Linked DNA regions of Bombyx mori. The protein of the gene in region 2 interacts with the protein of the main gene of each other region in a pairwise test. Links are inferred from orthologs where the notes say so. Each region holds a gene or a part of one and is shown on either strand. Other genes may lie near its edges.

Region 1 (4,038 bases), on a different chromosome or scaffold from region 2:
ATATGAGCAGCAATCACTGATCAGTGGACCACAGGGTCCACTTGGTTTTAGATGCCTGTCAGTCTATATCACCAAGTAAGTGCCACGGACCACACTAAAGTGAGGTGAATGTATCAATACTATACTCAATAGTCACATATCTGGGCATGAAGTTAAGGTCTCAATTATATTGCTTCCAGCATTTTAATCGCCCTGCAACACTGCTTTGTAGCATAAGGGATACGACGGTAATACCAACTTGTGTGGGCTCTTATTACGCCCAACCACCAGTAATGATGCAAATCATAAAAATGTGCGGATTTCATTTTTATCATACAATGTTAAGTATAGTCTTCAATATATAAATAATTAATGCTAGGATTTTTTTATCGGGTTGATTAGAACATTGGCATAATTGATTCAAATAAAATAGGAGTGATAAGCTTTAAGTTAATTTACAAAAAAAAAGTATTTCTTCACTAGTTTCAAAAGCTAACAAAATACGCTTTTATAGAAAATCCAACTAAAAATAGAAAATAAATTTTAATAAATTTGAATTAAAAATAGTGTAAGAAAAAATGATTTTATTGTAAAAAAGCATGGGGTGCTTTTCAGGATATTATCAAAATAACCCTTCTACTCATATCTGTTCATAAAATATTTATAACTACTTGAACTAGTCGTTAAGCCGACGTTTTTAAGGTCAAAATCATGTTCAGAGATTCCGTTACTCACTAACATACATACATCTGAAGTTTAAAAAAGTTTCATCTGAAGTTAAAAAAGTTTCAACTGTGTTGTTGTTGACAATATTATGCTTCAGAAGTATAGAAACAACAAAAGTGGTTTCTATAATTTTACATTATTTTTTTTGTATTACTTACCTTGTTTCTTGGGTCTTCCTGCTTTGTGTTTCCTCTTCCATAGAGCGGGATCACTTTCTCTCTGCTGATGGCAGCCTTGCAAACAGGACAGACTTGCCGACTGGGTCTGGTTTCCAACCATTGATGTAAACATGGCCAGCTGCATTGTAAACAATATACCATCATAGTCTCTTTGAAAAACACTAGTGCGCAATGAGTAGCAAGTGAACACAAGATATGGTTAAACTCAGACCTTGCATTATAAATCATATTATATAATCTCATAAAATATGCAAAGGTTCTCTAACAATTTAACAAGTTCAAGTTTTCTCTGTTGCCAATCAGCTGACTTCATTTCTCCCATTGAATTCATTTGGCATGAACGACTGGGAGGGTAAAAAATTGTTCACCAACAAACTCAATGTTTTGAAATTATTGGAAAGTAAGTGGAAAAAGCTGAATAAAGAATATTTCAGGAAATTTATTTTGCCTAGAGATATGTGTGAAGATAATTAAAAAAACACGAGGGACATTTCAATGAGGCTAAAGTTTAAATAGGTAAATATTGATATTGTATGTTAAATTCTTATTTGGTTTAGTTTTTAATTTTACTATTTTTTATTAGACTTAACTATGTTTGTTTCTAAACAGTGTTGTGTTTTTAAGTAGCTCCAAATATATAATATTATTTTAAACTTTTATATGATAGTGTATATGAAATTTATTTTACAATACAGTATTTTCATAAGCATAAATTTTTTTTTATGTACTGATTAACAGTAATATAACAGTTTATGTTGAACAAGTTCTTATCTAGAAATTCAGTAACTTTTCTGTTATAGTAGGTAAACTAAGCCAGCTAAACTGATCTGAGCCCCTGTCTAAAGAGTGTGCATCACTATGGTCCAATAATTGGCCCTACCAGCTTGAGGACGCTTTACCAGTAGATAAAAAGCTGTATTTACTTTTTACAATATAGGAAAATTTATTTTATAGCCTTCTTTGGCTCTCCTTGACAAAACAAAACTATAGTCTTGAGAGACCCTGACTATCAAATCAATCAAATCTGAGAAAACATCAGAGGGCTGATGCTAAAGAGAAAAAGCATTCAATTTTCAAATGTACATATTGTATGCCACCACCTTCTTGAGAGACCATGGCTCTACTAATCTATTTAATGTAAATCCTGATTTTAAAGATCTGTTTTAATATAGAATTAATTTTGATTAAAATAAATTGTCTTTTAACATTTTTAATAAATCAATAAATAGATAGATACAATTATGTTGTAGCACAAAGCACAGCTGTTCCCATTCATAGTTCATTCCATTCAGTGTATTGATTTTACTGCATTACAAGGTCAATGGTAAGTAATGAGAATGAATAATAATGAGCATAGTTTAATGCAAATTATTCAAATGATATTTTACCTTTTCAATAGTTGTGAATATTCATAAAAAATCTTTCAGCCATTAGATTTAAATCTAATTATTTACTGTATTAATTACGACAATGAGCTCACCAGAAGAGGTGGCCGCACATACTGACGACTGCATCACGGGCTGTGTCCAGACAGATGTTGCATTCTAGCATTCTTTCGTCATGTTTGTCTTCTTCGCCACCAGCGTCGCCCCCAGGCGCCGAGGGGCTCGCTCGCGCTTGACTAGTCTCCGCCATTTCCCTACATTACGAAATATTTAATAATCACAACTTGACATTCTTTTTTGGAACTGAAATTTTCAATTTATGAAGCGTTATCACGATACTGGTGTAGTGACGTTCGCTTGGATGTTATTGTGACACGACAAAATATATTCAAATTATAAATTTATAACAAGTTATTGTTTGCAGAGAAAGGTCAATAACAATACAACACTTGCCACTTTAAATTTGATGTTTGAGTTTATTATTTCATATAGAAACTTGTTAATAAATAAATAAATCACATTTCCAATCCCGTGGTATGCTGATTGCTGATCTGTCAGTAGATGTCATTCAGCGTCAAAAAATCTTGATTGTCAATTGTCAGCTGTAAGGACAAGGGTCCCATGACAGTCGATGTTTATGGAAAATATTGGAACTCGCAGTACATATCTTTATCTTTTCTACAGTATACGATATCTGATATGGGAAGTAATTACAAAAAAGCGATTAGGATTTATTTTATTTCAATTATTTTTTAAATAAGGAAAGATTTGTAATTATTTATTTCGTACCTTTACCAATGAATGGAAAATTATTAAAATTATGCCTCTTTAAAAATAGAAGTATATTTCTAACACTAGGTAATACTAAATTAACCCTTAAGATCAGATGAGTTGGTTGTATAATAGAGTTATCTAATTATCTAGGGTAGGCCACACGCTGGTGTTTACACGCACTTTTTATTTATGTTGTCATAATTACTAAAACAGTACGAGTACATTTTGAAAACAAGATAAAAAACCACTTATTAGGTATATTAGTTTAATCAAATATAAAATTACTGAAAAAATTATGTTTTCATGAAAATTAGTTTCATTTAAGTATATCATAAAATATTTCAAAACACCTATGCATAAATTGTTATTCATATCTACGAAATGAAATTAAATGAAACGGGTTGAGAAGGGATGAAATCTCAATAGAATGGTGGTTATTTACGGAAACTTTTTCAGTCTACTTTTTAAAAGAACCCAAGAAGCTACGTCCAGCAACTTTGTTTCATTTTCCTACATTTGTGCACGTTAACAGAGGATAAACAGTTAATAAATCTTCTTTATTATACATTTAAACATGAAGAAACGTTAACACAAACACAATTCTATTCGCGCTCCCGTCAAAAACTACTCAAGAATTAATTTTGACCAACCAAAGACATTTTTTTTTGGTACAATTTTTCCTTAGGCCTATACAACCTTGTCATTTTTAAAAAAAGCCGAGCCCTTATATGATTTATATTATGTCCTGAAATAAAAAAATCATTACGGCCGAAGCCAAGTCCTTTAAAATTTCTTCCTGAAATAAATTTTTTAATAAGGCCGCAGCCAAGTCTTGTATTATTCCAATCCTGGTACCAACCAAAGACAATAATAATCACTACATACCGTAAACAACCATTAATCTTTACTCTTTGCTATTAATCAATGAAATCAACGAGAACCAAAAGGAAAATGGTTGAACGATCGCTACTCTTAGCACCCATTCGCCGATAGAG
Region 2 (4,182 bases):
TTTCAGGACGAAAATGGGTTCCAAACAGCTTTATGAATACGATACCGAAATTAAAAAAAAGAAAACCAAATTTAAAAATTAAAATTAGATCATTTTTTGATTTTGAGATAATTTGATCAATGTAATCAATGTCAATTAAATATAGATCAATAAGGATAACTCAAAAACGACTGCTCAGACTTCGATAAAAATTGAAATTTGATAATAAAAAAAAAAAGAATCATAAAAATCAGTTGACCGAGAAAAACTTTTGAATTAACACAAAAAACAGAGCTGAATTGATAAATAGCCTCCTTTTTATGAAGGCTGTTAAAGCCCTAGAATTGATTGAGATATAAGTAATATGATGTTACATCGCAATATGTAGATCTTGAAGAAATGATAATGAATCTTGATGAAAATCACATCCGCCACCATCGCCACAGACTCATACAGGAGTCAGTCATCGTTGACGTCCTAGACACGTCCTTACAGATCTATCTGATCCAATAACTCGTGCATTAGATACCTACAACTCTAACTCTAGGAGCAAGTATATCGCCACAGACTCACACAGGAGTCAGTCATCGTTGACGTTCTAGACACGTCCTTACAGATCTATCTGATCCAATAACTCTTGCATTAGATACCTGCAACTCTAACACTAGGAGCAAGTATAGGAACCCTGCTAACCGAACTCATCAAACTCGTCAGAGTTCAAAGTAAATCTACCCTCTATAACATTTAGAGCCTGCTAAATTTCTCGCCAGATCTTCTCAGTGGGGCGCAATTCCGGTCTGGTAGAAGATGAATTCGTGAAGCAATTGCCCTTGAGATGGCAGGTTTTCTTTAGAGGTGCTAAGGCAGTTGTTAGCAAATCCCACTCCTCCTGGCAATTACAACCCTCTTTGTTTTCCCTGCTGTTTATATTTGCAGAAACATAAACATTTGTTCCATTTAGATGTGAGGTGCTAGAAGATCTCAGTGGGCAGCCGTGCAGAAGCTAAAGGTTAGAGAGAGATAAGAAATTGTGCAAGCTTACAATGCAGCAAGTATGCACTTTTAGATATACAAATATGACTAACACAATTACACAATGTGTCATTGTACAGTATATTATTTCAGTACAGAAGGTTAAGAAAAGTAAATGCAAGAGCCCTGGTAATTCAATTTAATGAATGGTATTCCTGAAAAACTCTTAATATGGATCTCAATAAGAAGATAGTTCCAATAATCTACACTATATATAAATAAACAAAAATTGGGCCTTGGTGCTAATGCAGTGCAGATATTTTAAGTAGGAGTAACCTTCTTACTACACATGCTAGCTTTCAGATACAACCTAGGCAGTAAAAGATACTTGCTAATTGGAGAGCACATACTTGCAGGAAGTGCAAAAACTTTGTCTAATGAAAAATTCAGTTTTTGCTGGGTTTGGGCTAGGACTGAGATATTTAATATTCTTAGTCTACACAAACACAGAATCTTATACCTTTAAACAAGCAATTCTTGTATATATATATAATCTGAATCTCGGAAATGGCTCCAACGATTTTTATGAAATTTAGTATACATGGGATTTCAGGGAGCGATAAATCGATCTAGCTAGAATTTATTTTAGGAAATGTTGTTTTACTTGTGTTTTCAATAATCAACTTTATCGATAATCAACTTTATGACTTCCCGACATATATTGGCGAATAATAATACTATTTTTCATAATTGTTTAAAGACACAATAACACTAAAGTTATTTCCACAGATGACGTTGTTAAGCCAACCGAAAGACAATTTATCAAAAAAAAAATTAATACCGAGCAAAGCTCGGTCATCGTCTAGTTCATGTTTATGAGGACAATTACTATTGTAATCAAAATGTGGATTATGAATGCTGTTAGCTTAGTATCGCCTGGATCATGTTCGGTACATTAATGTATTACATGCATTGCACGCAGGTGTGCTCTTACAATTGCAATAAATAAGGCAATCTGTCCATGACAATAGTGCTACAGATATTTAATTTAAAAAAATTCGGTATGTTATGTGTAAATATTGCTACTTGGTAAGCTGAACACATATACAAGGGGATGCTGGTGCCCCACACACAAGTTCTATTTCAATGGCAATCAATAATGAGGGAATAAATCCAAAATAATGTAAAAATACCTGTACTATGTCTGGCTTTTTGGAAGTAAATGGTTGCCTGAAGCCACCAGTGTCATAACTGTGATTTGATAAATAAGCCAAAAATACTTTTGCTTGGGCATAAATCGGATAAAATCTTTTATTTTATTTTAAACACAACTTCAATTACTTATAAAGATCAATGTGGGTAATATAAGTATTGTTTCTATTAAAAACATTGGTAGAAAATATAGAAAACAAAATGTTTACTTTTTCTCGTATGAATCACGAAAAACATTATAGATGTATTTTGAAAAGCTAATTTTACTATTACGAAGCAGTAAAATAATTCCTTTTCGACGAATTAAAAATAGCATTAACGTTTTGAATTTAAACAAAACATGATTTCTACAAGTTTGCTGAATCACGCACACATTGTTCTGAACTGGCTATTTGTTCTTTGTTTTATTATATCGAGACAATCCAACAATTTAGTTTCTTGGGCAATTTAACTATCTAAATAATAATAATGCATTCCAACAAAATATGACATTTTAACAAAAGTGCAAGTAACTCCAGTTCTACATTCTAAACATCAAAACAAATATAAAGTTTAGTTAAATTATTATCCATACCTCTTCACTTTTCATTATCTCTTTGAACTCTCTTTTTATACGTTTGGCTGCTATATTTGCCATTGTTAAAATTCTACTTAATTTTCACTTATTGCTTTACTGGATTCAAAAACGTTTAAAGCGCACGATCGCAGGCGATGAAATAAAGAGATTGATACCAGGATATTCTACCAAAGAGTTTTCAAAAACGTATTCCGAGCAAATGTTTACCACTATATCTGAAATTAAATTCTACCACACCCTGACGTCGAACATAGACTAAAAATATAAATTTGACATTCTCTTCTCACTTACTAACGGTATTACCATATCATTGCAATAATTTTCGGTAGTTTTCTTTCTCTATGAATTTTACTTTCTCTGTATTTCGTTCAGAAATCTCACAGATCACTCAACATTTTGCATGAGATTTTAAAGAGAAACAGACCTCGCATTCGTAAACGCATTTCAATAGGCTTCAAGTCAAGTTGTGTACTGTGGTTGGTTTGAATGTGTGGCAATAATTTTATTACCGTCTGTGATTTCCTATTCGCAATATTAAAATAAAAGTTAATTTAGTTTCGTGATGTTTGCTGTTAATAATAGTGAGTAAGTTTTAGGTCTTATTTTGAGGTATGACCAGTGTTATAAACAGTCTAAGGACGAAGTTATGTTAATTTACTCCCTATGTCACCGGGTTCCACCTATGTACCTGGCGCTTAAAGGTGCGTTGTGATAATGTTTATGTTAAAATTTTGTCTAATGCATGCTAAGTACCTCAATCCAATAGTAGTTTATGTTATGAATTTAAAAATAAATGGTGTTTGAAATAAGAACATGATGCTCTCGCATACATAAATAACTCGTGCAAGGCTATGAAGGGCGCCCGTTGTTCCCGAATACACACTTCATTGTGTACAGTCGTTACCAGTACTTAATAAAATTCTATAAATGATTTACTGAGGATGCTTAACATTATCCAAACAATAAAAATAATGCATTTGTTTACTTAATTACAAGATAAAAGGCGTGTAACTTTATAGAAAACTAATGTAATTCTAACATTTTAGTGTATAAGTAACCAAATTAGACAATCATAATAAAATTAAAAGTGTGCTGTTAAAGGTGTAAAGGTAAAATTCTAACACACAGCAATTGCTTATTACAAATTTAATAAAGTCACTTCAAAAGAATGAGCTATCTTGTTCATCAATAACGAAAATATATTTTTAAGAAGTTATCAACAGTGAGCACTTATGAAAACGGTTCACAATACACACAAAGAACGGAATTCAGAGTAATAAGTAGTCAGTTTCAAACCTAAATACTCTAGTATTAAATGCAAATATTAGACTTAATTCTACATCAATGTCTATTCAAATAGCTAATATAACATGTGAATACTGACATAAAATATATAAGTGTACTGACTACATTGGTGACTAATTATTGCAATTTGAATAAAT

The links. The genes of interacting proteins can lie anywhere in the genome.
Region 1: the proteins of Ubcd4 (region 2) and ring finger protein 5 interact in binary tests that used the Homo sapiens proteins (3 or more experiments, as listed by UniProt). The link is inferred for Bombyx mori from reciprocal best matches to the Homo sapiens genes UBE2K and RNF185.

What each region holds. Positions count from the first base shown.
Region 1 is NC_085116.1:17,094,581-17,098,618, forward strand, and holds the start of ring finger protein 5, read right to left. Parts: upstream 2,801-4,038; 5' UTR 2,723-2,800; intron 2,524-2,722; 5' UTR 2,520-2,523; coding exon 2,365-2,519; intron 1,003-2,364; coding exon 864-1,002; intron 1-863. UniProt on the Homo sapiens protein: E3 ubiquitin-protein ligase that regulates selective mitochondrial autophagy by mediating 'Lys-63'-linked polyubiquitination of BNIP1.
Region 2 is NC_085107.1:6,308,363-6,312,544, reverse strand, and holds the start of Ubcd4 (ubiquitin conjugating enzyme 4), read right to left. Parts: upstream 2,801-4,182; coding exon 2,738-2,800; intron 1-2,737. UniProt on the Homo sapiens protein: Accepts ubiquitin from the E1 complex and catalyzes its covalent attachment to other proteins. In vitro, in the presence or in the absence of BRCA1-BARD1 E3 ubiquitin-protein ligase complex, catalyzes the synthesis of 'Lys-48'-linked polyubiquitin chains.